4 linked regions of the Struthio camelus genome follow. The protein of the gene in region 1 interacts with the protein of each later gene in a biochemical or structural test. Links are inferred from orthologs where the notes say so. Each region holds a gene or a part of one and is shown in the gene's direction. Other genes may lie near its edges.

Region 1 (7,324 bases):
AGGAAGAGAAAGTACAAATCAAGAGACAGCAGGGAGAAAGGCAGCAAGAGAGAGTTACAGACAGAGAGGGAAGGGAAGTGGGAACCTGAACAATAAACCTCAGCAAAGAGAGAAAACAAAGGGGAAGAGAATGCAAAGGAAATGAAAATTGTAGAGCAAAAGGTGGAAAAACCGAGAGGAGAAATGCTGACCTGAGTTCAGCATGGCCAGGGATTCCCCAGCTCTGCTGCCTGTGATCTTAGGTTAATGTTTGTTTGTGCCTGGTATTTCTTGAGTCTCGTGGCATTTTTATGACATCTCCTAGTTCCAGTGGAAAGTGCTTAAACTATTGACACATCAGACAAGGATCTAACTGTGAATTGGGGAAATTACTGTTCAACATGTGCAACATATCGCTATCTTCAATTCTCTGTAGACTTTAAGGAGTTAAAATCTATCTTTTTGAAGCTATAGGCCACTCTCTGAAGTTGCAGATGAGAATTCAGGCCTTTCAGCAAATCTAAGGGGACTGACCTTGTGAGTAACAATGGTAAAAATTACTTTTCAATTTCTTATCAATTTTTTTCTCTAGCAAGAAAAAGAAAATCATAGTCATCCCTGGTACTAAAATCACAACGTAACTATTTTATTAACTCTTTACACTTTCAAAATTGTTGATTCTCTGGATTGAGTTTTACAATGCTTTTCTACTCAGAGAAGACTTTCCAAAGCTTGACAAGGAAAAAATAGCAATCCAGACTGTTACTTTTTTTACTGTGAGCCAAAAATAGTTTTCCAGTTTGGGGAGAAATTCCAACACTTTTTATTAAAATACTGGAAAAATGAATGACATTAATCTTAGCTGGTGTGCAGACTTCTGAAACTTGCAGGTGCAGCTCTTAGAGGATGTGACTTAAAGGTATTTTGAAAACTGCCCCAGAAACATTAGAGGGGTGCTTCAGAAGATGCCTGAGGATAAGGAGGCCTTTCTCCCTCCCAGCAGTCACTAGTAGGACTTCACTTCAGGACATTAAGCATTGAACTTAACTCCTAAGTACATTTTAGTGTAACTGGAAGTTACATGGCTACAGTGATGGTGGATATGATAGTGGATATATCTGCACTAATAGCCCTAGGCTGGACCATGGAGATGTCACCTGTACCTAAAGGTGCACATTGCTCTTGGGTAAGGAATGTGGGTTGTATTTACACTGCAAAGTGGCGTACAAAGCAGGGCCCTCTGAACTGTTTCTCAAAGCAGACAACACTGATGCTTGCCCTGCTGAGGGATGGGGCAAAGTTAGAGCAGGGCTGGGGCAAAGCTCCGTGACTGTACTGCTCTCCGTGCCCGAGGAGCGTCTCCGAGTAAAGAGGAATTTGCAATGCCATTTCTAGCAACCGGAATAAGATTGCTCGATCATGATCTGACTACTGTAATGTTGGCTGGGCAGCAAGAGGAAAGCAGAACGCTTTGGAAAAAGAACAGCTTCACTGCGAGCCCATGACTGGGGATGGCCATAAGGGGAAGGACTCCTTGGGGTTAGTATCTAAACATTTCCAGCTCCTGAACACCTCCTCCGTGAGCAGGTAGAGACCGGCATGGCAAGGTGGGAGAGCGAGTTCTCTTGCCACAGACTGCAGCCTCAAGCTGGCGCTGGGGGTGACAGAGGGATGAGTTGGGGAAGAATTGTTGTCTGTTTTTCCGAATGAATGAATGCTGTCTGGCAGCTGAATGAACAGGTCTCTGGCAACCCAAGGGGAGCAAAAGGCCACAGAAAAGAGGGGAAAGATCAAGAAACCAAACAATGAATCAAAGTAGCTGAAAAGACCCAGAAAGCCCAGAAAAAACATTTTTATGAGTGTGTGATATATCTTCTCTGTCATGTGAGAGGATTTTATGAGATAGCAGAGGAAGGGGAGAAAAGCAGAACAGGATTTCTGCAGGGAGAAACCTAATGTGGAAGAGGAGAGAGAAAATAATTTGAAACACACCCTATGCTAAATGCACTAGAAGAGAAATCTTTGATTGTTGTAGAAAGGCTGGCAGCCAAGTCAGCAGGAGAACAGACAACTATTGCCGAGAGGCAGCAGTTCCCAGGCTCCCCAACAGGACTCTGCAACTGGTGCCAGCACTATTGGAGAGCCTCCTCTCCAGTCTGAACATGGTGAACAGCAGTTACCTGGGAGGAGGAAGGAGCAGGTGCTCTAGGAAGGAGTCAGCATGATGTTATTGTTGCCAGCTCTACATCAGAAACGGTGTGGGGTTTCCAAACCTTCCCAGTTCAAAAGCAGCAAGCAAATTAGTACTATAGGTAACTCTGCTGGCTACAAAGACTGGTTCGCAGAAGTGCTTCTTAACAAAGGCATAGCGTCTGACCTCAGGGGAAGCTTTGGAGCTGAGTCCCAAGCACAGATCTGCTTCTTGCAGCTTGGAGTTGAGTATTTTACTTCTCTGTAATGTCTGCCATTTAAGCCTTCCATCCCTCTCTGCCAAGAAACGCACAGAAGGTGTGAGAATGACAAGAAGAACGGTGAAAAATAGAACTCTACCACAGCACCAGAAGGTGAGCAGAGGAAGACAGGTAATAACAGAAAATCTTAGTACAATCCACTAGAAAAGTCAATTGCACAAGACATAAATCTATAGGAGACCAGGCTTTGCTACGACTGCTTGTGAAGGAGCAAAAACTCATGCCTTCGTGCAAGTCTTATGAGTTCCAGCAGTGATTAAAAATGCTCTTGGTATTTTCCTTGCAAGAAATTCAGCTGCTGGAAGCAGGCAGACAGCACAAGGCACCAGCCATCCCAAGTCTAACATGGAGGGGCAACTGCCCAGTCCTAATTCATAAATGAAAGATGGCAACGGGAAGAAAAGCAGAGTCAACAGAAAATACTTCAATTGGAATTTAAAATGCCTTAATAGTGTAAGATGTCCCCGGGCTCACCGGTTGTAAGAGAACTGCTTTAGTTGCAGGTTTGTTTGTGTGAGAACAGTTGTTAGGCTGAACTGCTCTACAGACTTGACTTGTTAAAATTCTAAAACAAAATCCTTGTCTATAAGCTGTGTCCTACTGACCGTTCCCAGCCTAGTTCACTCAGTTTCTGATTATTCAAACCCAAAGGGAAGTTGCCCTTTTGTTTTTGAGCTTGCTGTTTATGGTTATTATCCATTCATGCTTTGATTGTATAGCTACACAAACAGGAAGTGGTTACATGGCTCAAAGGTTTGCTGAAGCGTCACAAAACCCCGTTCACGGCTACTGACTGGGAGCAATCAGAAGCATTATTTGATGACTTTTTGATAAAAAGCTGCATGAAATGCACAGGGCTGCTCAGCCATCTGAAAACTAACATACTTTTGCCCTTAGCGATGTTCTCTGCAGAGAAGTTAACATCTGAATGGAAACGTTTTCGCTTCCTCCACTGGAAGCGGGACTGCATGGGCAAGGTCATTGCTCGAGTATTCCTCTCCCTACATGATCCTGCTGGCCTGGTGAGCACTTTGGTGTCTTTTTAAGCACTGCGCTTGCTGGTACTCCTTGAGTTCTTCACACAACATCGCTGTCTTGGCATGCTTGGTAAGCCTGACACTTGACGTACTTTCTCGCTGCTATAAATAAAGTCTGCTTGATTGTTCAAGCCTTTATTTTGCAGAGACATACTGTGATTTAAAGTGTTCTCCTCCCCAGCTTAAGAAGGAATTACCGTGCATCACTCTCATGCCGCTAAACACCCTAAAGGGACGCTTAACGTGACACCCTAGCGCTATTGCAGCAGGTACGAGGTGTTGCCAGCATCATTTTCAGTGTCATTTCACACGACGCTGGAAGGCCTATGCTGCAGGGCCCTGCCTGTCTCAGGGGCCCCTCCCCACTTCCCGGTGACCAACACCACCGGGCCTGGGCCTCCTCCGGGAAGGGGCCACGGGCCCACCCCTAGGGCCGCCTCAGCCCGCTGACGTCCGGGGCCCGCTCCCGGCCGCCACGGGCTCCCCGGGGCCGGGAGCGCGGCTGGGCGGTGGCTCCCCACGGGCGGCCGAGCTGCCGCGCTCCGCCCGCGCCGGGCGCCGCCGCCTCGGACCGGGCCGGGCCCAGGCGCTGCCCCGCCGCCTCACGGCCAAGGCCGCTCCACCGCGGCGGCGCGGCCGGAACTTCTTCCCCTCCCGCCTTCTCGCGAGAAGCCGCCGTCACGCACGTCGCCAACCAACCCCCTCCGCGCGGCCGCAGCCTCCCCGCTCCCGTATCCTTCCGCTCTCCCCCTCCCCCTTCTGGAGAGTTCTGTACGCGCGGCGCAGGGCAAATAGTCCCCGCCGCCTCCTCCCCTCTCTCGCCCTTCCCCCCCTGCGCGCCTCGCCCGGGCTCGGCCCCGCCGCCGCGGCCCCTTGCGCGCCGCCAGCCTCGCGTTAGCCGGCGGGCACGGGGAATAGAGGGGGGCAGGCGGACCGCGGCGGAGTGATACGCGGCGGGGGGGAGGCCGGCTCGGAGGCGGCAGCGCATAAAGGGCCCGCGGAGGGATGCGGTAGGAGCTGCGGCGCCGAGCGAGAGTCCAGCGGCCGCCGCCGGGGGAGCAGCGCGTGAGGCCCGCCCGCCTGGAGGCCCCCCCCACCCCCTACCTCTGCCGCCGCCTTCTGGCCCCCCCCTTCCCCTCCCTCCCCCCCCTTTTTTTTCTCCTTCCCCTCCCCCTCCCCCTCTCGCACTGTCGCCACCTCCGCACTCCTCCTCCCCTCCCCCTCGGAAAATAGTCCCCGCGGGCTGCCCCCTCCCCGCCCGCGCGCCCCTCCTCGCCGCCTCGCGCACACAATGGCGCTGAAGAGAATCCACAAGGTAAGGGCAGGGCCGCGCGCCGCCCCGGCCCCCGCCCGCCGCCGCGCCGCGCTCGCCTCCCGCCGCCCCGCCGCGCCCGGGCCCTCCCGCTGCCGCCGCCGCGCTCCGAGCGGCTGCCGGCCCGGCCTAGCGCTCGCCTTACATAACCCGGCCTGCCCCGGCGGGCCCGGCCTCCCCGCCGGCCCCGCTGCCCCCCCGCCCCGTGGGCAGCGGCTAGGCCGCTTGCCCTGGGCCGGCCCGGCGCGGCCTGTGCGGCTCGGGAGGATGGACCGGCCGGGCCGGGCCCCTCAGCTCGGCTGGGGGAAGCCATGGGCTGGGCCTTGCCCGCTCGGCGAGGCAGGGAGCTCCCCTGGGACGCAGCCCGCACCTCTAGCTCTCTTCTCCGGCCTCATGCCTTAGGCCCTACGTGGGGCCCGGGGACCGGGACCGTCCTGCCTGGGCAGGGCAGTGTCTGCTCGGGGTCAGTTACTGCGGGAGTTCTTGAAGGGTGTTTTAACCTCTTCTTTTTTTCTTTATGTTTTTTCTTTTTTTTTTTTTTTTTAAACACTGAAGTAAACATTTGCGGGTTTTTTTCGATTTTATTAGGGGACTTGCATGTTCATTTTTTTGTTATTAGCATGATCATCGCTTGCCTAAAGATTGAGGAAAGGGAACATCATGCCTTTTCCAGAAATGAAGAAAGGTGGTAGCAGCCAAGCTGAAAAAGGTTAAACAAGAGAAACTTGGTGGCAAGTCTGAAGCAGACCAGGTTTCTTGTTGCTTCTTTGACTCTGATCTCTATACTGTTAGCAGGCCCGGTTGTGTTGGTGCTACTGTGACTGCCAAAGATACAGAATGCTTTTGGAGCCTAGAATAAAATGACGCTTCTTTTTCTTCAGAGTAGAAGGTCTGTTAAATTCTTACCACGATTCCATTTCCTTCAGACAAGCGCTCTGAAGCAGTCGATTCTTGACTCTGGGGCTGATCTTTTTCTAGGAGTTGATGTCTTCGAGGGTGGAGGGGGGAACTAGGAAGTGTGAATTTTGTTTTATTTGTTTTTTGTTTTATTTTGTTTTATGAGGATAGTGGATTTCTCTTTGGGGTTATCTCCTGTCTCTTTTCCTTCTCCCTCTCCTTGTTCCTCAGAAGCGAGGTGCCCGCTGTGGCCGAGGCCGTGCCCCAGGCAGCTGGTGGAGCCGCGCTGCCGTGAGCTGCATCGCCGCCAGGGGGCTTGGCTGCGCGGCGGTGCCCAGGCCAGGGGCTGTGCTGGAGGCCCCTGCCCACCTGCCTGCCGCAGCTGCGGAAGGGTATGGCGGGGGGCAGCGTCTCCTGGGAAATGGCATCCTGCAGCTTCAGTCTAGCAACTGCTGCATCTAATGAAATGTTGCTTAACACACATGCATTCTCAAATTACCCAGTTTCAGAAATGGGGTATGTTTAGCGCTTAATAGCATCAAGATACCATGTACTGATGTGGTATTTTGTTAAGCGGTTTTTGCCATTTTTTAGAAGAGGATACGTGGCGTAGAGCAGTGCTGTTTTCACTGAAAGTTTTGACATAGCTTGCTTCTAAGCTTTCTGTTTAAGTTTTTAATCCTTCCTTGAGGAAGAAGGAGCTCGTGGGTACTGGATAGTGAAATGTGAGGCATAGTAAGTCTGTCACATTTGAGCTACTCAAAATAGTGTGGTGTATTGTAGAATAGCATTGACTCAGATTATTTGTTTGATGAAGCTATCTAGTATGCTTGTAGGGAAATGTGTGTGAGACATGCTTCCTTCTGGAGCAGGAGGCATGCCATGGTCCATATGCTAGCTTTCTAGAAAAATCATTGCTTCTGAGTCTCCCCTCTGATATTGAGACTATAGCTTACTTGATCATCACAGCATATTTCAGACGCAAAAAAAAGGCCATCTCCCCCAGAGAGGACTATTCAAGCGTGTTTTTATTGCCTTGGTGATTCAGGCAGGGAATTGGTATCCTCTCGCGTAAAGGTGTAGCTTTCAGCCTAGAATCTGCATGCAAACTTCAGATCTAGAAGCCAGTCCTCCCTTAGGATTTCTAGTCTGAATTATCTATGTGGGTCTAATATATTTGAGAAATAAACGTGAATCTGATGGCAGATGTTCAAAGTCTCTTGCTAGTTCTGTTTTCTTCTGTATATAATACAAGATTTAGACAACATATTAATGTCTTTGCTATGGTAGTAGGTTATCTTTAAGTATTTGTGAAACTTAATCATGATCAAATTAAAGCAAAGGAAAGAAGAAGGAAGAAAATTGAAGAGAGCTTGAAGGCTTTCCTATCCTCATGGAATAGGTAGAGCATAAAAGGGACGAGTGTAGACTATAATTATGTTAGTATATTTAAATTTCCTCACAAAAGTGTGCAGTAATGGGTTATATACATATGTATTTTTTTTTTTTACTTAACTAGTCATCAAGAAGCACAGGTAAGGGAGAAGTGGATTCATCCAAAAAATTTGGCAGAAAATGATCACAAATCTCAGATGTGGTTGAGTTAGACTTGCTTTTAAGGAAGTTAC
Region 2 (7,286 bases), on another chromosome or scaffold:
ACATTCTATACATGTAGGTATTGTAAGTGTTGCTAAAAGCTCCACCTTGCTGAAGTTTTAGATGGTAGTTCAGAAACACTTTACAAAACCATATATTAGCGGAGTCACTGAACAAATCAGCCCTGCCCTCCTTCTCGAATTCTCTATCTGGTAGTTCACTTGGTTTGAGATTCTGTATGACAATAACTACACACAGGAAAAACCAACCAAACAGCCAACATCCCTCTCAATGGCTGAGGCTGAACAATTTATACTAGGATTTCCACTGCGAGAGGTAGTCTATCCTCCCTTTATGTTGGCTGCTTGTTGCCATCACCACACAGCACCCTTCCCTAACGTTTTTCCAATTGCATGTTGAACACAATTAGGGAACTTGATCTCTCTGGAAGAAAAGCAACTGACAAAAAGAGTTGTTTTTCAACCAGAGCAGTTCCCCCATCCCATCTGCCATACCGACACACAAACTCTTACCCTTGCACCGTGTGAGATGACATGAGAGTGTGAGTGAGCGGCTAAGAGCACATGGAGGACTAAACTACAGCTTTTGGCAGAAGCATTGGAGTAAAGCATTTGAACTACAGCCTCAACTGATTTTTTTCCTTTGTAGTTCACTATAATCTAATACTATATACTCGTAGTTTGTTAAAATGATGCAGTTTCAGTAGTCTACCTCTTTAGTAACAGTTAACTTCCCCGGCGAGCTTTGCTGGGTTTTGGGGGTTTTTCTGGTTTTGTTTTTTAAACAAAAATGGCTGTCTGCAAATAGAACACCATGTGGAAAAAGATGCAGCTGTCTGGAGAATAGCGTGAATGCCCAGAACTGGGCTGCTTGGGAGAAGGAAAGACTATGAGAAAGTCAAATGAAAAACTGAAAAGTAACTTTGAAATAGTGCATTTCTTACCTATACCTAATGAGGCCTCAGTACTGCAGCATCCTCAGCACACAAATCTGACGGCTACAGAACCTTATTTCCTCTGCCATTGCCTTGTACTCATGCCTTTCTTCCTATTCCACTCCTCACTCGTTTGTAATGCACGGTACAAGCCGAAGAGACCTTTGTGTGCCTATGTTCCTTTCCTCTCATGATGCCCCTTTTATTAACAAACTACACTTTCCTAGTTGGAAACTACTGCCGTTAAGATAGTAAAGATGAAAGAATCAAGCTCATGGCTATCTTTTCACCTCAGTACATAAGTATTTCCAGGAACTCCTCTCCTGTTTAACTCACCTGAAAAACTAGGGGCTTAAACTTTGAGTCATATTATTTAAACTTACATTTACATATATATATATGTGTACATAAATTGTCTGTTAAGTGTCAAAACCCTCCAAAAATAACAATAAAATTACCTGTAATAGTATGTGTAGAGTTGAGTGGAGCTGTACTCATCATATTAATACCAAAAAGCAAGATATAGCCGATTGCTAGAGTAACTAGTAGATACGCAGGCAATGCAACTGCCCAGTACCTGAGAAATAAGATTTTAAAATTTACTTATCATAATAACAAAATGTCTGGTGACATAACATTTTTAATGTACTGGCTGTTATTGTATACAGCACAAACTTAGCTGGGACGAAAAGAAACACCACCACTAAATATGGACCCTGGTTCCTCCCAGGAAGACTACTAACTATGGAGTCACTGTAGCCAGCCTGTTATAAACAGTCACACAAACTCCTTATAGATGGCTTTTGTTTTTTATATACAATTTAAAATTTATTGTATTTCCATCGGCAAACTTGGTTAAGACAGAATTCCTAACTTATCACAAAACACTGAAATAAATACTACTTCTTTCATTACACAACAAAATATTTTTTATCGTAATTACTTATCGGTATAAAGTAATGCTTCACAAAAACGATAGCCCTTTATCATCAGGAAAAATGTATCAAATGCAAGGCCACCATTTAAAAGATACATGTATAGTTTCGCTATTTGCTATTTGAAATTAATTCAGGGTGTTATAAATGTACGTCTATTCAGGCTTAAGAGTTTAATTGTTTGAACTTACTTTTGAGGCCAGTATGTTAGTCCCAAAGAGAATAGCCAAGTCTCAGGAACGTATGCCCAGATAAGATACAGAACTGCACAAAGAATTAAAAAATCAAAACAGTGCAACCGATACTGTTTTAGACTTCTTCCTTAAGTTTTAGAGCAATACTTCCATACTGATACATACTGTGATAGTGTTTCACTTTCACACAATCTATACCCAGGTAGCTCTAGCATGACATTGCAGAATATATCGCTCATACACAAAACTTGCCGAATATGGGGACAATGTTTTGTACCTCATTATATGCTACCATTTTTGTGTTTAACATTTAGTTTTTGATTTCCTGTGTAGGCAAGACAAGAATTTCATGCAGTCTTGGAACTACAAAACAAAAAGATTCTGCAAAAGCACGCCAAATGACTCTCTGCATACAGACAATATTAAATTACAAAGTGATTATACAGTGGGTCATACGACTAAAAGAGGTGGTAGAACGGCAGGGCTTGGATGGAAGAACTGAATTCAGAAAAAAATAATTACTGAAAATATTTTCAGTCTCTTGGTAAGTTTAACAGTGATCTTCATGTTAACATAACCAACATTGAAAATCTTTCTCCCTAACAACAAATTCAGAGTAAGGTTTAACAAGAACTGAGATGAAGAGTTTAGTAGCCAAACAGTGACACAAAATCTGGAACTGCAGAGGCTTGCTCTGTAGAACTAACACTGGGAAAAACGGAAGCCAACTTAGTTGCATTGCCACTTACCTCCAAGAAACACTGAAGACTTACATAAGAATCCTACTTTTTTGTTCAACTACAATCTATTTGCAATACCTTTTCATTTGTTGAAAAGGTGTTCTCATTTAATTCACCCTTTCTAGGCTATCTTAGTCCTGTGTGGGCATGTAAAACATCCCCAGAGAAATGCTACAGCATCTGTCACATCAGCAGAGAAAGCTGGTAGGGCTGGTCATTTTCCTTTGCTGTTAACCAGACGCGCCTTAACCTTTAATATCCAGGGTTTGGGCACTTGGGGGGCTGGGGTGGGGACGCTGCGGTTACACAATAGCAACTGTATGTGTAATTCAAGTAAAAAAGTTACTAAAATTAGAATGCCGAGAATTTTTTAAATAGGCACTTAATCCCATAGTAGTATTAAAGACAGACAAAACATGAAAGGATCACAAAAGGTAATGCTAGATTCTCAAAACATCTCACAGATCTGGCAAGAAATTGTAATCGTCACCCTTTTGAGATGGTCCAACTGGAATTACATTTCTCTCCTAAGCAGAACAATACTTTCCAGTGAATTATTCAGTACACAATATACTTACTAAAGCCAAACCAAGATCCTAAAAAAAGGGCAAAGCCGTATATTGCTCTTTCTGGCAATGGGGCTGGAGAGTTTTCAACCATGCTGGTCTCTTCCCTTTAACTTCGGGGGGGAAAACAAAAAGAGAAGTATTACAGGTTTGCTTGGTAAGTCTCGCTACGAATTACACGCAAGTGCGGGGATCCGGGGGGGGGGGGGAAACACGACAACACAAATCACTTATTTACCTCCCATGCAGACGTGACGCACCCCACACCAACCGGCGCCGGTGGCCACCTCCCCCCTCCCCGCACGCGCCTGCCGGTGGCGGGAGAGCTGCGCATGCGCTCAGCCCGCAAGGCCCCGCGCGCCGCTCAACGGTCGGCCGGGAGCCGCGGCGCTGCCGACCCCCATCTCCCACAGCCCTTCCTTCCTTCCTTCCTTCTTTCTTTCCCCTGCTACCTGCCTCGGCCGGCTAGGCCATTCCGCCCCCTTCCCTTCGCGTTCCTCAGGAAGGAAACCACACCCAGGGCGCCCTTAAGGACAGCAGGAAAAGAGGCGCCGACCCGCCTGACTTGCCCCTCCCCTTGGTCGCCCGGCGCCGTGTATCTGGCGCATGCGTAATCGGAAAAAGCGCGCTTCAGCACCGCCTCTCCCGCTGCCAGCTCCCGCGGCAAGCAGACGCATGCGCAAAAGCTGCGAGTTCGCGGCGGCCGGAGACCTCTAGCCCAGCGTTGGCTCTCTCCCTTGACGTCAGAAGGCAGCCTGCCAATAGCGGGGCCAGGGCGGGTGAGGGGGGGGGGCTGGCACGTGCGGGGGGAGGGGCCAGCGTTGGGCCCAGCGGCGCCGCGGGTGGCGGTTGGTCTCGCGCTGGCCGTGGCGGGGTCCGGTGAGTGGCGGGCGTTGAGGCCGGGGCGGGCGCTCCCCTCCCCCTCTGCGCGCGGTGCCAAGCTCGTGCCCCTCCCTTGCCCCCGGCCTCCGCCTTGGGGCCGGGAGGGTGACGCCCGGCCCGGCCCGCCTGGGGCGGGCTCCAGCGCAGCCAGTGCGGGGGGACGGGAGCGGGCAGGGCGGTGTGGCCTCGGCTCCGTGGGGCTGCGACACGTCGCTGGTGAGAAGCGCGGCTGCTGCTGGGGCCGGGAGGTGGCGGCGAGGCGGCCGGGCTCCGCGCAGCGGCCCGCGGGTTGCGGTGGGGGGCGAGCTGGCAGGAGGGGGAGCGTGGCTCTGGGCGACGGGAGGCCTCCGCGGTTCTGTCACGCGGGGTGTTTAGAGCCGCTGTCTTTGGATGTGGCAAATGGGGCTTAGTTGCTGTTGCACCCTTCCCCGGCTGGTAGACACTGCCCTTCCCTTTCCTGCCTGTTAGGCGTGAGGCAATAGGAGTGCTGTCAGGGACCAGGCGCTTGCAAAACTGTTGGAGTTGTTAGTCAGTTTAAGTAGTTTTTAACTTGAACAATTATCTAACGCTTTAGGATGCTTTTCTTAAGTTTAACTATGTCACGTAAAAATACGAGTGCATGTTTTCTGTGAAGCTATCACAAATCGTAATGTCATGTTGTGATCATTTTATTTCCTGTAAAGTAAGTGCATTCCTTTCCTCTCTCCCCCACCCGCGTGTGGTTCTCATAATCTTTTTTTTTTCAGTATTATGCACCATGGCTGAGCCTATATCCGAATCTGAATCTGCGGCCATGGCTTTTTATGCTGGTGATAAATCTTGCTGTGAACTGGTAAGTAGGTTTGGAACTAGATGAAAGGCTTGCAAGATGATCCAATGGGTTTTATACCTAGGTATCATCTATAGACTGATTATTGATCTGGATGAACTTTAACTAATGCAAAGATATGCTATACCACTGTAAATTATTCTCTTGCAAAATGCTACATCTGGGTAGAGCACAGAGACTGCATATCCTCTATCACACAAGTTTTACTGAAAAGGTATACAATAAATAAGTAAAACTAGACAGGAATAGATAGATCTTGTTAACACAGTTTTACTAATCTGCTGGCCATGCGTCCAGGCTATGTCAGATGGTATACCTCACAGTAGTGAAATCCATGCTGTGGAGTGAATGAGACGTTCGCAGTGATCCTTCAAGCTGAACCGATTTTGAAATAATTTTTTCCTTCTTTGTTAGTGAGTGGCCAGTTTTGTTAAATATGTTGATAATTTATTTTTGAGAACAAGCCTCAGTTTGCATGTAAAGTTGCAGCAGTTTAGAAATACTACTTTTGATGAGGTCACATGATTGCTTATCACCACTTCAGGTCAAGTTGTCATTGCACAGTATATCGGTATTTCCCTGAGGTCTGCCACTGCAAGAATGAAAGTCTTTAAAGGAAACACTTTCTTGCAGACGTTTGTTTTCATACTTCTTTTTCTAGTCGTATCCAGAAATAACTTTTAGTTTCTTTGAAATTATAATACAGCTGTACATACAGACAAAATACTTACTATTTATTAACAGACATGTACATTATTTTTATTAAAACAGTAGACTTTGTAGGGCTCTGTAAAATGGAACAAAGCCGTGTAATTACTCTTCAGCTCTAGCGGCTGGCATGGAGCACTTCTTTTAAAACTCATTAAAGTTCCATTGGTACAGTGTACTGCTGTGAAATAAATAAGTGAATCAACCTGTGAAGTAAATAAATGAATCAACCACTTTTATTTACTCTACGTACTTTGATATATGTTTATTCACATATATATGCACATACTATTAAAAAATTAATTAATATTTTGAAAACCTGTTATCTTAAAAATGTCTTCTGTAGGTATTCTTGGATATTATGTCACTGTCCATTAGCCAGGTTTGAGTGATCTATTTTTTACAAGAATGCTATGGTAGTATAATTTAATATATTGTTTAAGCTATTAATAATTGTGAGTGGCTGTGAACATTTTTAATTTATGGGTATCTTTTTCAGTTAATGGGCATATAGGTAAACATTTTTCTCATATGAGTGCAAATAAACCATTATGCTACTTAGAAACAGTTAAGTAGTTGCTGCTTGCAGTTGATGTAATGCATTTGTGGGATATGTAATGTTAATAATTAATATGCTTATCATTAGGGTCATGGAGTATTTGTACAGCGTTCTTCACGTAAACTTAGAACAGGTATGTAAATTAAACTAATCTTGCATAACTTTCTCCTATGTACTTCCTGTGCTGTATCTTTGGATTGCTATTTCACTTTTTTCCTTATTTTGTCTCCATATATGTATAAAATTATTTGGTCTCTTCTGAGTGGAAGTATTGCTAAATTTTGAGTTGGAGTAATTCTCATCTTTTTATTGTAATGTAATATGCAGGAGAATACCATAGGTTTGTGAGAACAGTGTGAATACTTGGTTACACTTCCATACACGGTGTCAGTTAATGTTAAGAGAACAGAGATTTTAAACTTTGTTGATTACCTGTGCTCTAATCATAGCTATGTTTTAGCTATGTAGGTCTGAGTACATGCTCAAGATGATCTTTGTAGGTAGAGTGTTGTAATTATAGATAATCTCCTTTCTCCCCCTCTCCCCCCCCCTCTCTCTCTGTTTTGTTTTTTGGGCTTTTTTGGATAGTTGCAGAAAAGTAGATAGCTACACAATACGCCAAGTTCTTCAAAATTATTCCATATACAAAATGAAAACCTACAATACCTAGTCTGTAGGAAACTCAGGTGAATGCAGCTGCCTATGTAAAAGCAGGTTTCGTATATACACAAAACTCTCAGATGCTACTGCTTCTCTTCTGTGGCTACTTGATACCATCTCAATAGTCAAATGAGGATTTTTGCCCGTAAAATACAGTCTCCAAGGGAAATGGGTCATATTTTTGAAAGAGCCACATATCATAAAGAACGGACTCGGGAGGAAAAATAAAAATCACTGCTGAGTTTATGTACCTTGTTGCTACATGCCATGCTACTGTGAAATTATGACAGAAAATAATTAAACAGGTGCAGCTAGAAGCA
Region 3 (7,105 bases), on another chromosome or scaffold:
AAAGTAACTGTTTTGTTTATTCTGAGCTTTCTTGGCAGTCCTGCTTTGTGAACCTAGTTTTTGAATCCGCAAACCAGTAGCGTCTGATAGAGAGGATCTGAGCAACTGTTCATTTATAACTTCAAGAACAATCTATTGGCGATGGGAGAACATAAGGTGGGGCACTGGGGCGTGACAGTCCTGATGTAGTTTTGCCTTGACCTAACATTTTGTGAGGTGTTGCAGTTGTGTTTAATTCATCTTAAACTGGGCAACCCAATCAAGTTATGTTTATATTCATCATGCCTAATTTGAAGTTGACATGCTTCCCAGTTGTGTTAGCAAGTAGAATGTGTCACCAGCCAGCCAGATTATCATACAAAAGTTCAGTGCATCATCTAAATAGAACCGTTATATTCTCTGCGATGTGATAATCCCTGTTTTTTTTCTGCAGAGTTCTTTGCAACAGAACCACTGGAAAGAACTGGAAGAGAGTCGGGAAAGACAGTTCAAGATCCTTCAGCATGGCTTCATGGCCAGAGAAACAGCTCAGAAAATGGCTGCATATGAGGCAGCAAAAAATGGAGCCACAGTTTGTATACTGCGATCTGAAGTAAAATAAAATTCATTTGGAAAAAAATCAGACTTGCTGGAAAACTTCTCCCAGTGTGCCCATATACTACAAGGTTGAATTTTAACCTTTATTTCATCTTTACAGTTTGAATAGCACAACTCTGGTCATACAGGCACATTTGAGTCAAAATTTGTTATTTTTTTGTCATGGAATTTTTATTTTTAATCAGTAATGACCTATTTTTCCAGTTAGAATCAAAAGCTGTAAGAAACTGAGCCCTTGCAACTGAGGCTCCTGTGGCAGAATGACAAATATCTGGATAAGAATGCTGTCTGTATTTCTATTATCATTATATATTATACCATGATTTGCTACATTCATCTTCCTAAAGAATAAAAATTAGGAGAAAAAAAAGTACAATGTTTGTTTACATATGTATTTTTTCAGAAGGCACGGTCAGCCCAAGTTCCCAATACATCATCTTACCTGGCAGTAGCAGTGCATAGCAGGACCACCAGTTTCAATGCTGGTTTTAGAGGGTGAGGGGAGAACTGATGGCATACAGCAGCCAGAGAGTAGACTAACTGACCTAGACATACTGTTCCTATATTTGCAGAGGTGAATCTTTTTTGTCTTTGAATGGTGGAAGGAGAACATAACATTCTTTGATCTCTCTAAGGAACTGCTTCCAGAAAAAGGCAAAAATCTGTTACTCACCTAGAAGATAATTTGCCCTCTGTGACAATTTCTATACTGTGTAAAAAGGCCTTCAAATCACAAGATTTATTCTAGGCATAAAGCCAAGGAGGATATAAATCTGGATTAAAATCTGCACAGCAGTAAGACTATGTAATGTATTTCTATTTTAAATTTGTGCCAGTTACTAAGTGTTTAATTATGGCTATTGCAAATATTTAAATTGAATGAGACTGTCGCTGACATTAGAGTCAGGCAGCTGCTTTTAATGCTCTCACAACATTGTATTTCTCACTTTTTGCTGAAGGAAATCTAATGGAATTCTTTTGTTGCCATCTAGCTGTGAAGATTGCTTCCACAATCTGCAATGCTGACAAAATGTGCTGTATTTTTTGTTCATTCTGAATGCTACAGCAGTTCAGGAAAGCAATGAGATTCATGCAGTAGCTCAGTAGGAAGAGTTAAGGATCCTAGGAGAGTGGGAAGAAGGAGTGATAGATGTAGAACTGCGGAGAAGTCGGAACTATGACTCTGTGTCTAGTAGAGGGTTGGAATAGCTTAAAATGACAAGCATTTGGTTCCACAGAGTTTATTTTCCTTTGTGTTTGTCCAGCACCACGTTGTGTTGTATTCCACAATGACAGAGCGAAGTCTGGACTTGAATGCCTCGGTTTTCCAGAAGCTAGCAAATAATAGGACTAACAGTCACGGTCTGGGATTTTTCACAGCTGACTAGTACCTCTGAAACTTTTTGTTATACCATGCATTTTGAGAATTAAGAAAAGAAAGATTAATCTTTAGGCAAATAGACAGGCATATCTACGAAAGGTTTTCAAATTTCAAAAATTTATCATACTGCATGCTTCTTCCTCTGGGGTGTTGGACCCAGTCTTCAAAATTCGGAATGAACTGCAATCAAGCTGAGTCGTAACTATTTCCTTCTCCATGTTCTCCCCAGCTCTCAAAATGAAAGGACTGAGAAATAGAGCAATCTTAGTAGTTCAGCTGTGGAATTCAGAAATAGCCTCATTCTTGCTACTTTAGGACCTAATGCGTGAAGTCATTTTATAAGCAATGTTTCAAGGAATGTAAAAGAATGAATCTTTTGGGAAAAATATCAATTTATTACTTTTTTTATATAGGTTATTGATTTTACAGCGATGGGAGGTCTTGCAACAGAATACACAGAATAAAATCAAAGATACTACATTCCTCATGACATGGTGCACGGAAACCTAAGGTGATCCAACACACAGCCGGTAAAGGTCCCACACGACTTGTTAGCTTTCTGTTACAAAAGTAGCTGTACTGCTGTTGGAGCCAACTTAGCTTTGAAGCAATGCAGCTGCATTCACTCTGTGCTGCCTCAGCTAGTCTGTGGCACAGATAATCCACAACCTAGTTAATCCACACACAGGTAAGTGAGAGCTGGCAGCGCACGTACGCTCATCACACTTTGCAGAAACACAGCTACATGAACGATCCCTATGAGTCACTCATTTATGGATTTGTTACTGCATTTGTCTCCAAGATGATGAGGGCAAGTGAAGAAGGCTGAGTCTTAAATAAGCTACCAAAACACATTTACAAAATCAGAGGTTTCACCTGGGTATCAGAGGTTTCACCTGTGTTAGTAACAGAATCAGAAAGAAACCCCTCTAATGTCAGGAGCTGCACTTTCCAGAGTCACGCAGATGAACGTGAGGCATCTTAATACAGTGTGAACGACCAGATACTACGTCCTTTCACGTGGAGCTGCAGTATAACTAGGCCCAGGTTTACTGAGGAAGACCACGGGATGTTAGCATGCTGTGCAAGCTCCAGCAGCAGGTAACGCCGTCACTGCCACCTGGGACTCGGCTCCGTACGCCAATCCAGCCGGCAGCCTGCTGGCGGCCTGGGGTCCAGCTTCAGCGCCCGTCCGGCTGGGTAATCGGATCGGTCGCAGACAGCACAGGGAGAGATGGTGTAGTTATTTAAATGAAACCAAAGACGCGTACGGGCTGCTGCGCCGGAATTGCAAACACCTCGTCGAGGAGCGTTCAGCCGGCGGCGAGGAGAGGGCAAGAAGTGCCAACGCACAACGCCGCCAACACGCAGCCAGGCAGGGGGCTATTTAAATCGACGAAAGGCCAAGCGGTCCTCGTGCTTGGAAAAATAACTTTCGATAGGGAGGCAGAGGCACAGAGATACCATCATAAGCGTTTATAACGAGTTAACGCAGAGTGAGGTGCGCACTAAGCGCATCTAAGGCAACAGGTGGCTCGCTCCCAAGTTCATGCTTCTGATGCGCTTCTGTCGGTCCGTTCAGAAGCACAGCTGGGTGACTGCCATTTTGTGGGGGGAAAAACACCCAAACCCCCGACTCGTACTGCCTTGCTACACCCGCCCAACACGGCACGACCTGCCCTGAACGTCCCGGCAGACGGACAAACACCTGCCTCGGCCCCTTCCCTTCAGAGCCGCACAGACCCCAGCGGCTGGGGAAGGTTTCCGAGGAGCAGCCGCCGCGCCTGGGCAGAAGCCCTGGAGACCCTCGGGGGCCGCGGGCCCGGGCAGCCCCACCGCGAGGGGCCGCGCCGCCCCCGAAACTACAACTCCCAGAACACCCCGGGGCCGGATGAGGGGGCGGGGCCGCCCGCCGCCAGGGCTTCCTTGACTGACGTGCCCCACACCCAGTCCGAGAGCTGCAGCTTACGGTTTCGCCAATGGTAGGAGGGCAGGAGGCGGGCGCTGCCCTACGCAGTTGCCGGGCCGGGCGCCGAGGGTGAGTGTTGCAGGCCGGGGGGCTCCGCTGTGGGGGGGGTGGGAGCCGCGGCCGGGCAGCGGCAACGGCGCCCCCGGGCCTTCCCCGCCGCGCTGAGGGGGCCGCAGGTGAGGGATGGAGGCGGTGGGGGTGGGGGGCACCGGGCCCGCTCCCGGCCGCCGTGGGGGAGGAGCGGGCCGGGCCGGCGCCGAGGGCAGCGGGGGCAGCAGGGGCCGCTTCCCCCGTGCGGGGCCGCGCCAGCGCCTACGGGGCCGGGGTTGGTGGGGGGAGGGAGGCGGCCTGGGCCCGGCGCCGCCGCCTGCCGCCCCCGCGCTCCCCGCGGCCTGTCGTCCCTCCGCTCGTGGCGTCCCTGTCGCCCTCCCCTTCTCCCCCCGGTATCTCGTTGGGTTTGGGGGTTCCCCCCCCCACACACACACCCCCCAGCTTCGCTCCGTCACTCTGAGGGGCTGCGGCCCCGGGGACGGGCCGTGGCGGCCGCCCGCTGCCGCTGGTGACAGCCGGGGGGCGAGCCCGGCTCGGGGACGGGCCTGGGGCCTGGCCGGTGTCCCGGAGCGACCGGCGAGTTGGAGGGGGGGGCGGCTCAGGGGAGCAGGTAGGGTGCGGGGGGGGGGGGTTAGGCCACCCCCCCGTTGGGTTACCGCAGAAGCGGAGGTGATGTTTCTCCTCGAGGTCTTGTTCCCTCTACCCCTACGTCTCCACGCCGGGCTCTGCTCCGTTCCCCTTTCTCTGCCCTCCTCCGGGGCTTTGGGCTGTGAGCCATGTCCGCTCTCTGGGATAAACAGCCGCGCGTAAGAGGAGCGAGGAGCGCTTCTGGCCGGCCCTGGCCGTTTGCAGCGTTCCTGACATAGAGCATCTGGCCAGCTGGAGGCTTCGGCTGTGTTCTGTGCTGTGGGTGGTTTTCGTTTGTTTTTGTTAGGCCGCCCGTAAGCGTGTGTCCTATTTGTCTGTAGATGTAGCTGGCCGCTTAGAGCGGGTCGTAAGTAGTAGGTTGTGCCTCTCTCATCTCTAGTCTTTTTATAGTGCCTGTCAGTGAGGTTTTGTAGTATGGGACTGCTTGACCTAATTTGGATAAAACATAATACACTCTGTTTCTGTTTTTACTAAAGTTGGTGAAGAACCTTTTTTTTTTTTTTCCTCATCTCTAATGGTAGAGAAGATGCACGTGATATGGAACTTTTGGAAGAGTAAAATGGCAGATTATTTTTCCTGCCATATGACAACAATGCTAACGCTTTGCCATAGGCATGTGCTTCTTCTGATCACAAAAAAACGCTTCTAGATGCTTAGCCCTTTGATACTGTCTTTCCTGTATTAAAAGTGCAGTGAGACATCTTAAAAGTGCAAATGAGAAGCAAAGTCTTAAAGGCATAGCATGTTGTATTTTCTTGGCTAACGTGGTGTATTTTGTTTTTGACACCTTTGCCTTGTACAGACCAAACGTTTACTCTGAAACTGTTGCTTTATTCAAATGTTTTCTTTAGAATATTTCTAATGCTTAGGATGTTCATGAGGTCAAGTTTGGTCTATATTAGTCAGACACGGTAAAAATGCCTACTTCTTGTTTGGGCTGATTTGCTTCAAACCATAGTGAGCCTGTGGGAGCCCAAGACTTTGTTTTCAGAGTGGTGTAGGAAAAGTTTTAAATGTATTTTTAGTGAGTTAAAAGCTAAATTCTAACATGGTAAATTCAAATTGAATTTGGTGAAAATATTAGCTTGGGGGGAGGGATTAACGACTTAAATCAGGCATAGGGGAATCAATATTCTTTCACTGCTAATGGAGACATTCTTAATTTAGGTGAGTTTACCTGTACTTTTCTCAAGTAGTTACCTGTTGAGAGAGAGAATGGTGGATATAGCACTTAAAATCCCGGTAGGTTAGCTAGAATAAACCTTGAACTTTGCTGTTATAAGGACATAACAGTCATTAGGCCCTTGGGAGGGTTAAGTGATAGGAACAATAACTGTCTGTGGAGAGCTCTGTATGAGAGGAAGGGGAGTGGCTTCTCCTGGTTATATATCATCCCCCAGTGATACAATAAAAATCCTATAAAAGTTAGTAATATTTAGTGGCTTATCAAGTTGATCTGTTAAGGTTTTGCATTTAAAAATCATTGTTTTTTATTTTAAATTTAAAAATCTTAATCTTAGAATTTCTGGATTGGTATCTGAATGCATCTTGCTACAAGTATAATAGATGAGCTACTAACAGCTTCAGCTGGAGTTATTTGATGCTTTTGGGGGGTAGGAGGTGCAATAACTCCGTTCCTGGTATCTGATTCTGAGAATCTTGATGCTGAGTTTCATAGTGACTGCTGGAGGAGGACCATATAGACGTTATTACTGAACTTGGACTATTCAGGACTGTATACAAAATACTGTTAAATTGGGTGGTCCTGGGGTTTTGAGAACCCTCGAGGAATTTTTTTGATAGGTAGATCTCTAAATGTGAGAAATTTGAAACTGCTTTGTTTATCTCTGTTCTTAAACACTGCTAATTTGATCTGCAGTGTTTTAAAGAAGGCAAGTTTTGCTTTATTTTTCCTATCCATTCTTGCAATTCAGAGAAGTGATCTTTGCAGTGGAATTTCCCTAGTAAGCTAAGAGCGTATTTGGAAATATGTAGCCCCACAGAAGAGGTTTGTTTGTTCTTACGAGAAAAGAAGTTGCCGGATCATAAGATTCCTTCCATAACTTTAATAAATTCTAGCAGTTTGGTTTTCTTTGAGTATAATTCTTCTGATTTGGCAGGTTCATCGGTATTAATGCAAGCCGAAGATGATTTTTAAAGTCCTTTTACAATTTTGGGCTTTTCTATAGATATCCATTCTTAACACTTTCTCTTTTGGAAGAAGCTGACAAAGAGGTTAAGATGTGAGCCTTTAGCCCGTGGAAGAGCACAGGAGTGTTAGTGTCTCACGCATGCTATCTGTATTAAGTGCTATGACAACTAATATAAAGAAAGCTTACTGCCAATGTTGGAATGCTGCTCTTTGCCACCTGAGTTCCAGAAGCAGCTCTGTGCTCTGTTACCTTTGAGGTCTGGAGTTAGATGATCTGGGCATGTAGCAGTAATCCTATAAATAATCT
Region 4 (7,426 bases), on another chromosome or scaffold:
AAAAGTATACATGCACAAGGATCAAAAACAACCTAGTATAAAAAGGAGATAATTGGAGAGGAGTGGAAAAACATAGCTTTTCTAGTATATGCCAACATCTTTTACCCTCTCTGGAAAGGGGGCCTACAAAACATTTACAAACAACCTCTAAAAAAATCTCTAATTCAGCTGCCGCTCATATGGCCTCTGCATTAACATAGGCAAGGCCTTCCAGCTGAGGAAAGGCCTTCGCGTAGAAGACAGAGATATACTGTACTGAGGGAAGTTTCCAGCCAAAAAAGAAAAAGGTCAAAGGACTGATACCACACAAACGGTCAAATGTGCTTTCAAAATGAAGGAACCCAGAACAGTGGTCTTGAATAGTATCTACAAAATTCCCATGTAATAGAAAACTTTAACACATCCACAAAAATAAACAACAAAATAATACTGGCAAAATAAGTATCTCAATTCCTCTATCTACAGAAACCACATTTGGCCTTCAGGGTAGGAAGAGAAAGAAAGCAGGCAAGGTGCAACTTGTTGGAGGCAGCATATGGCAAAAGAAGAGTTGCTTACCATCATGGGCAAGGGAGAGTTAATTGACATCGCCACAGCAATCTGCTACTTAGGACCAGCAAGCACTGACCTCTTTGAGGAATTCTGCTGTTTAAATACCAAGGCTGAGCAACCTTTACAGTATCAGATCTTGGTTCTACGTCGAAAGAAAATTTCTCAGGTTACATACTGACAAGCCTGTAGCCATCACACTGATTTCTGATACGGGTATATTACAGCACAACTGCCACACACGTTTGAAAGCACACCAGGGTCTTAAGTCATGACTTAAGAAACATAGCTGACTTAAAAGCACTCCTGACACAACATACAACACAAAGAATATGAATATTCATCTCTGAACCAGTCATAAGGTTTGAACAGAAAACATGCTGCCTACCTGCATTGGATACTCTGAAACAATACAGGTTTACCTCCCAGTCACGTTTTTCTAACCTGCTTTGGCTGCAATGCTGCTTGGACAACTATACTGCAGTGCCTATCGTAGTCCTAGGAGAGACGTCTGGGAGATTTCTGGTAGGGAACTAGTTCAGTAGTGACAGTGGTTGGCAAACACTGCTAAGGGTTAGAAAAATTGACTCTGAGGTATCAGGAGCCAGGCTACAGTCTTTCACTCAGTTTCACTCCAGCTGCCACTACCCTGGCTGCCTCAAAGAACCATCACGACCATCTGCTGAAACGGCAGGAAGGAAAAGCTCTCCCAGCTGTTTAAAATCCTGAGGAAGGAGGACTCAGGAAACTGTGACAATGCTGTCAGCCAACAAGACAAAGGAGACAGAGTAATGCCCCAACCTAGCCCATAACACCACCGAGACAGGACAGAGGAGAGGGGGTGAGAATAAAACAAAACAGTCAAAGGTAAACAGTTTGCTCTAGATTAAAGATGCAAAATAGGAATCTCCGGCAAGCAAGGCAGAAGGCTTGACTGATATTCTCATCAATCAAAGTCATGAGCTGGGAGAGGGAGGAGCATTTTCGGCTTTCTTACATCCGTGTCAGCAGACACTTGGTTTAGGTTGAACAGGTTCTCAACCTGCGGAAAAGCCTTATCTACTTTTCTTGACACGTGGACAAACCAGCTGAAGTACTTCTATATGCATGTGAAGTGTTTTGCAAGCAATCTGGGAGGTTAAACCAGTTTTTCAGAACTGCCAAGCTCTCCAGCATAACAGAAGAGATTGGCCTTCCAAGATGTGCATAAATTGCAATTAAAACAGCTCTACTCTGCCATCTAAATGAGCAATTTCCCAAGAATCATTATGGCACTTCAGCAAAAATCCTGTTTGAAAGGCCTCTTATTTATACTGCCAGTTTCACTGAGGAAAAACTCCAAAAAACTTCATGGTCTCTTTTTCAAGTTTTATGTATCTTGGAATAAATGTCTTTTTTTTTTTTTTTTTTTTTTAACTGAACCAATTTCAAAGTCATCTTCATCCAAAAATACTGAAATTGTTAAAATAATCCAAAGTTCCATATATTAAGCTAAGAAACACGTGTTGATCATTTCGAGTTCTATTTAAGTCTAGTTCTATTACTATTTATTTACTAGTATTTCTGCTAACAAAAAAAGAAGCTAGTTTCTTGATTAGCTCAGTATGTAAGGGAGGGTAGGATGTGGAAAAGCAAAGGGATCTTTATTGACCAATACGACAGAGACAGGAATCGGCCTGGACAGGTACAGGTTCAGGATCAAGGAACGTGCATAACTTGCTACAGCTTACACATAGTCATACGTCCATACGACTTGAGTAAATAATTCTTACAGACAGACCATATCACAATACATTTTTCTTTTCTTAAGTTATCCATTTTTATGTCTACGTTTCCAGGAGATTTGTCCAAAGGTCATCTTTGTCAATGGTTCAGTTTTGTGAGGAAAGTGCCAATTATTTTCAAAGGTGACAATAAAGTTAGCCACTCAAAATTTGATTGCTTCAACTCTCAAATATGGAAAGGAAAACAAAATCACCGTTTGGTTCTACTATTTTTCTTTGTAAGAAGTCTGCAAGGTAATCGATCGAGATTTTTACTAACAGTGAACAGACTTCGCCTAGACATACTTGTCCTCATTCCCTCCAAAAGCAAGAACTGTGGATTCCTACGTTATTTTATTTTCTAAATCAACAGGACCTCAACTTCCACTAGATCTGAGCGTGTGCAAAAGTTGATGATACAGTCCTTTGGAGCACATATAGACTACTGGTTTGTACGATGTTTGACTGAAGATTCAGTGAAGACTCCCCTCTTCCCCAGGAGAAACCATAGTCTTCTAATTCTCACTCTGCATTTTGTGAATTCCTTCACTAGCTCACAAATAGTTTAATCTCACGCAATCTTTTAAAATTAAATTGAAATATTATCACTTCAAATCGAATTTGAACACCATATTTTAAGTGAATATTAGAAGATTTTTAGTCCTGGAATCTTTTCAGACCTGATATAGACTTCTGTACAAATGCTGCATTTCAACTAAATATTCTCAGGCTATTAACAATTTTATCCAACCTGTGATTGAATAAAGGGTAGGATCAACAAGTTCAAATCACTGTTTACAGACCAGTAAATTACAGACAACAGAAAATTCAGTACCTATCACTCTGCAGCAACTCACATATTTCAAGTATATCAGTCCACATGCAGATGACTGGACTCCTAGCAAAGGGCTGGTCTGTTAGTTACTTCGAAGGTTAAGGAGTCAAGATAGCATTTGAGACTGGGACCACTGGCTAGGTTAGCGTTCATCTTATGCTTCTCCCAGCGATGTGACTACTTTATTGCCAAAGAGCACCAGAGGATCACACGTAAAACAGCTAAAGCACGCGAGCACAGGGAAAGTAGCGACACACGGCAACAGATCTTCCATCCACCCCCAATACAACTTATTTCCCCCCCCCCCCTCATAATGAGCCTCTTGCTTGGCCTTTCTTCACCAAGAGTCACACACATCTACTTCCTCATGAATTCCAACAGTAGGAGGATTCTCATTTCTTTCCCAATATCTGAAAAAGGAATCCTGGGAGCCCAAAGGCAGGACAAGTGGCCAATGCTTCTGGAAGGTGCAAGGACTGGCAGGGATGTGAAGGGAAGTGAAACAGAGTTACTTACTCTCAAGTTACTTATTCCATTTACGTGCATAAAGCAGGAGAGTAGCCATGGCATTGCATTATATACTGTTCCCCTAAGCCTCAGTCTTCTGTACATTCTGGGCCACCTGCTCACCTTCAACACTCAGTGAATCTTCCTGGCTTGTCCACTTTTGACTTTCACAGAAAAAGCTAAACTACCATTCCCCAGCAACTTACTCACCATCACAGTTTTATCCAGCTCCGACCTTTCACAGACTAAATATCTAGAAGAGTAAGTATATAGCTCTTTTCAACTGTCAGTCATATTCCAGAGTTGCACACAATGGGTATTTACTTGCCAATACTGTTAATGGAAAGACAACATCAACAAAAGGGAAAAAAAAAAAGAAAAAAAACCACAAATCCAGTGGCTCCAAACAGCTCACCGATGAATCAGCTGCTACAGAAAATGCCAGCTCCAAGGATATGGCACAGTCACCGCTCCAAACGTGGAGCAGCGCTTGCAAACCCCGGTCCCCCGTCCAGTAAGTTTGGACTGCTCTGCGAAGAACAGCGCAACCTGAACGCGCTCATGGACCAAAGCCCCAAGGTGAAGATGAAGTAAAGGTAACGGCAAGAGGAGGGGGGAGGGAAAGGGGGGGGGTGTAACCTTGACTTCACAGGTGAACGCCGCCCCTCGGGGCTCAAGGGGAAAAAGAAAAAAAAATAAAAAGAAGAAGACGAAACAGACGGGAAGAAAGAAAGTTTCCGGGTAAAAAAGGCTGCGGGGGGCGGGCGGGGCCCGGGCACCCCGCGGCGCCGCCGGTAGAGGCGCGGAGCCGAGGCAGCCGGGGCCGGGGGAGGGGGGCCGCTGCCCGCCGCGGGGCGCCGGCTCCTTTGTTCGGGGTGGGGGGCAGCGCCGCGGCCGGAGGCGAGGTGGGGTAGGGCGGCCGCGGCAGGGCTCGGGCCCACCGGCGGGCGGGGCGGCGGCCTTGGCGACGGCGATGGCGGCGCCCTTCTCCCCACCCCCCCCCCAACCCCAACCCGCTCCAATCTCCGCGGCGGCGGCCGGGGCGGGTGCACGGAGCCGTGTCCCCGGCGGGCGGCGCCGCTCCGGGCGCGGCGAGGCGGCCGCGGCACTCACCCAGGTGAGGAGGCTCTCGCCGAGCTCGGCCCGCTCCAGGCTCTCCACGTTGAACATGGCGGCGCGGCGGCGGCCGCGCGGGGCTAACGGCCGCGGCCCGCTCGCGTCGCGTCCTGTGGCGGCGCCCCCCTTTCCCCCCTCTCCCCCCCCCCCCCGCGTCCCGGGCCTGGGCTGTGGCGTCGACACGTCACCGCGACCTCCCAGGAACCGCCCGCGCGCCCCCAGCGCGCATGCGCCCCTGACGCGCCGCGCCGCTGTCGGCCGAGCCCGGCCGCGGAGTGGAGGGAGGGGTGGGGGGGGGGCCGCGGGGCGGGGCAGCGGCGGCGGCGGCGAGCGTCGCGCGCGCCGGGAGCTGAGGTACCGCCGCGCGGGCCGCGCCCCTCCCCCACGCCGCTGAGGGGAGGCGGCGGCGGCGGCGCCCCGACCCGGCCCGGCGGGGAGCCTTCTCCCTTCTCCTCTTCTCCCCTTCCCTCCTCTCGCCGTGCCGCCCTAGCCGGCGAGGGTGCGGAGGGGCGGGGCGGGGGGGCCCGTGTTGCCTGGCTGGCCGGTTGGCGGGCGGCGCGGGGGAGCCGTTAACGGGCGCGGGGGAGCCGTTAACGGGCGCGTGGGCGCTCGCGCATTGCGCAGGCTGGGCGAGCGCGGCCGGTGCCGAACTGTGGTGCTGGCGGTTACACAACACCGCGGGTGCGCAAGGCTGGCGCCGCGGTTAGCTTTTTTTTTGTTTTATTTTTTTTTCCCCTCCCCCTTTTCCCCTTCTTCCCCCAGCCCAGTAGCACTTGCGTGCCGACAAAAAGCAGGTTCCCCCGGGGGAGGGGGGTGGTCCTCTGGAGAGGCCCTGCCGCAGGCTGACTGCTCTTGCCTCGTTTCTCTCCCCCCCCCCCCCCGGTCCTGCAGCCCCGACGCGCACGTAGGAGCCGGCCTGGTGGGTCTCTGGTGGGTAGCGGGTAGGGCCCCGGCCTCTGCCGCTCTCTGACTTCAGCAGTGTGGACTGGTGAGGTTGCTGCACCCCAGGAAAGGCACTTGCTAGTAAGTAGTGCAGTCTGACACGTGGCAAGAGCAGCCTTTAAAAGGAGATTTCCTTTTTTTTTTTTTTTCCCCCTCTTCTCTCTGCTGTAGAAAATGACGTTAGCTCCCTCTCAGCAAAATGTTGCTATCATAAAAGTTAATCTATTAAATCAGATTAGTTGTGGATAACTCAATTCACGTTTAACCTTAATAGGAGATTATTTCTTGGCTAGTGTGGCTCTGCCTCCCTACTTCCTTGGCTAGAGGAGCTCTACATCAGACTGTAAAGGGGTTGCCTGAAGGGTTCAGCAAACTCGTTTTCAGTAATCAGCTGAATTTTGCCCCAGCTGAAGCTTCTAATGAGAATATCAGATGTAATATTAAGTTATACAGATCCCGGCTCATTAGTCACTGAGCTGGCATGTGGCATCATGGAGTAGCAAGCATGGTACGCTAGTAACGCGGACGAGAGTTGCATAAACAACCGAGAAAGAAAGTGTTGCGCATCTAAATACTGTCATTTTGTTCCTATTTTCTCACAGTTCTTGCATTAAATGAGCAAATAGCATGGACAAAATCTTGATATTACTTTATGTCAGCCTGTTTCAATTGAAAGTGTGTTACAAGAGCTGTGAAAACTCTCCCGCTTATTCAGAAAAGTATCTTCTCCCTGATGTCATAGCATAACCAGCTATTTTCATTTTCAAGTTTTGAATTCAGCCTCTTACCTTTTAAGAGCAGCTGTCAAATTGAGGAAGAAGGTTTAAAAGCCTTAGAAAACAAATGCAGTAATGTGTTTTGTTTTGTGTTCTGCTTTAGATATGAGATTGTATAAGGAAAAAAATGCATTGTGCAATAAACAATTGTTAAGCACTTTTCTTACAACAGGTTTAGCGTAAATAAGCCTTTTGAGTCTTAGGTGAAGTATCATCACTCATCAGTAAATCATTTTCTAATGAAGTGATTTTGTTTCCTTTTTCTCCTTGTCTGCTCAGAAAAGCAATTTATTCAAGCTGAAGGCATTGGCAGGCTCTTTCTTATGTCCCGATCTGCACAGGAATTTAATTTCACCCTTTATGTTACTAAGAATTCCATTCCTTTCTCTGTTTTATTCTTATGAAACAGTGGAAGACTTTGTTAGGAACTGTTTTATACAGGTCATGCATTGTCAATACAGGTCTTCCAAATAGTAATGCTGTGCAGACCATTGTATTTGTCTTTTTGCTTCAAGCCATCAACATAGTTTCAGGCTCATAATGGAAAGCTTCTTTATTTGTTTCTACTAGAGTGGTATTTTAACTTGATGGTATTTTCCCTTACAGAACAAATGAGTATCTGAGCGAAAAGAAACTTCAATCCTTTTGAAATAGAGAATGAATTTGCCTGTGCTGTATTTCTAACTTGCAAAGCATCATTCCTCCAATAAGGATAGAGTACCTACTTTCCCCCCCCCCCCCCCCAGGAAAACATGTCCCTCAGAGGCTGTTGACCTCAGACCTTGCAGAGACCTGCTTCACCAGGCAAGTGCCTTGGTTGGTCAATTCTTAAGGTATATGGAAAAAAAGTATTATTTCTTTACTAAAAACATTCAGTTTCCCCTGTTCTGGCTTGGCAGGAAAGCTACCAAGATTGTTAGCGCTTTTTTCTTTCCTCT

Evidence for each region.
Region 2: the proteins of UBE2D2 (region 1) and TTC3 form a complex in vitro, tested with the Homo sapiens proteins (2 studies listed by BioGRID). The link is inferred for Struthio camelus from reciprocal best matches to the Homo sapiens genes UBE2D2 and TTC3.
Region 3: the proteins of UBE2D2 (region 1) and RNF4 form a complex in vitro, tested with the Homo sapiens proteins (8 studies listed by BioGRID, with this or other methods). The link is inferred for Struthio camelus from reciprocal best matches to the Homo sapiens genes UBE2D2 and RNF4.
Region 4: the proteins of UBE2D2 (region 1) and RNF170 form a complex in vitro, tested with the Homo sapiens proteins (2 studies listed by BioGRID). The link is inferred for Struthio camelus from reciprocal best matches to the Homo sapiens genes UBE2D2 and RNF170.

Annotation. Positions count from the first base shown.
Region 1 is NC_090954.1:22,808,667-22,815,990, forward strand, and holds the start of UBE2D2 (ubiquitin-conjugating enzyme E2 D2), read left to right. Parts: upstream 1-4,277; 5' UTR 4,278-4,778; coding exon 4,779-4,802; intron 4,803-7,324.
Region 2 is NC_090942.1:122,277,153-122,284,438, forward strand, and holds the start of TTC3 (E3 ubiquitin-protein ligase TTC3), read left to right. Parts: upstream 1-4,086; 5' UTR 4,087-4,107; intron 4,108-4,122; exon of another isoform or gene 4,123-4,207; intron 4,208-4,281; exon of another isoform or gene 4,282-4,426; intron 4,427-4,434; exon of another isoform or gene 4,435-4,504; intron 4,505-4,956; 5' UTR 4,957-4,967; coding exon 4,968-5,042; intron 5,043-6,393; coding exon 6,394-6,439; intron 6,440-7,286. Other genes in the region: PIGP (phosphatidylinositol N-acetylglucosaminyltransferase subunit P), read right to left, coding at 1,352-1,470, 2,020-2,092, 3,341-3,422. UniProt on the Homo sapiens protein: E3 ubiquitin-protein ligase which catalyzes the formation of 'Lys-48'-polyubiquitin chains. Mediates the ubiquitination and subsequent degradation of phosphorylated Akt (AKT1, AKT2 and AKT3) in the nucleus.
Region 3 is NC_090945.1:77,249,365-77,256,469, reverse strand, and holds the start of RNF4 (E3 ubiquitin-protein ligase RNF4), read left to right. Parts: upstream 1-3,931; 5' UTR 3,932-4,016; intron 4,017-4,028; exon of another isoform or gene 4,029-4,123; intron 4,124-4,199; exon of another isoform or gene 4,200-4,209; intron 4,210-7,105. Other genes in the region: CFAP99 (cilia- and flagella-associated protein 99), read left to right, coding at 434-601. UniProt on the Homo sapiens protein: E3 ubiquitin-protein ligase which binds polysumoylated chains covalently attached to proteins and mediates 'Lys-6'-, 'Lys-11'-, 'Lys-48'- and 'Lys-63'-linked polyubiquitination of those substrates and their subsequent targeting to the proteasome for degradation.
Region 4 is NC_090982.1:12,000,636-12,008,061, reverse strand, and holds the start of RNF170 (E3 ubiquitin-protein ligase RNF170), read left to right. Parts: upstream 1-4,265; 5' UTR 4,266-4,395; intron 4,396-4,767; coding exon of another isoform or gene 4,768-4,824; exon of another isoform or gene 4,825-4,915; intron 4,916-5,007; exon of another isoform or gene 5,008-5,057; intron 5,058-5,060; exon of another isoform or gene 5,061-5,124; intron 5,125-5,661; 5' UTR 5,662-5,793; intron 5,794-7,274; exon of another isoform or gene 7,275-7,321; intron 7,322-7,426. Other genes in the region: HOOK3 (protein Hook homolog 3), read right to left, coding at 4,768-4,824. UniProt on the Homo sapiens protein: E3 ubiquitin-protein ligase that plays an essential role in stimulus-induced inositol 1,4,5-trisphosphate receptor type 1 (ITPR1) ubiquitination and degradation via the endoplasmic reticulum-associated degradation (ERAD) pathway.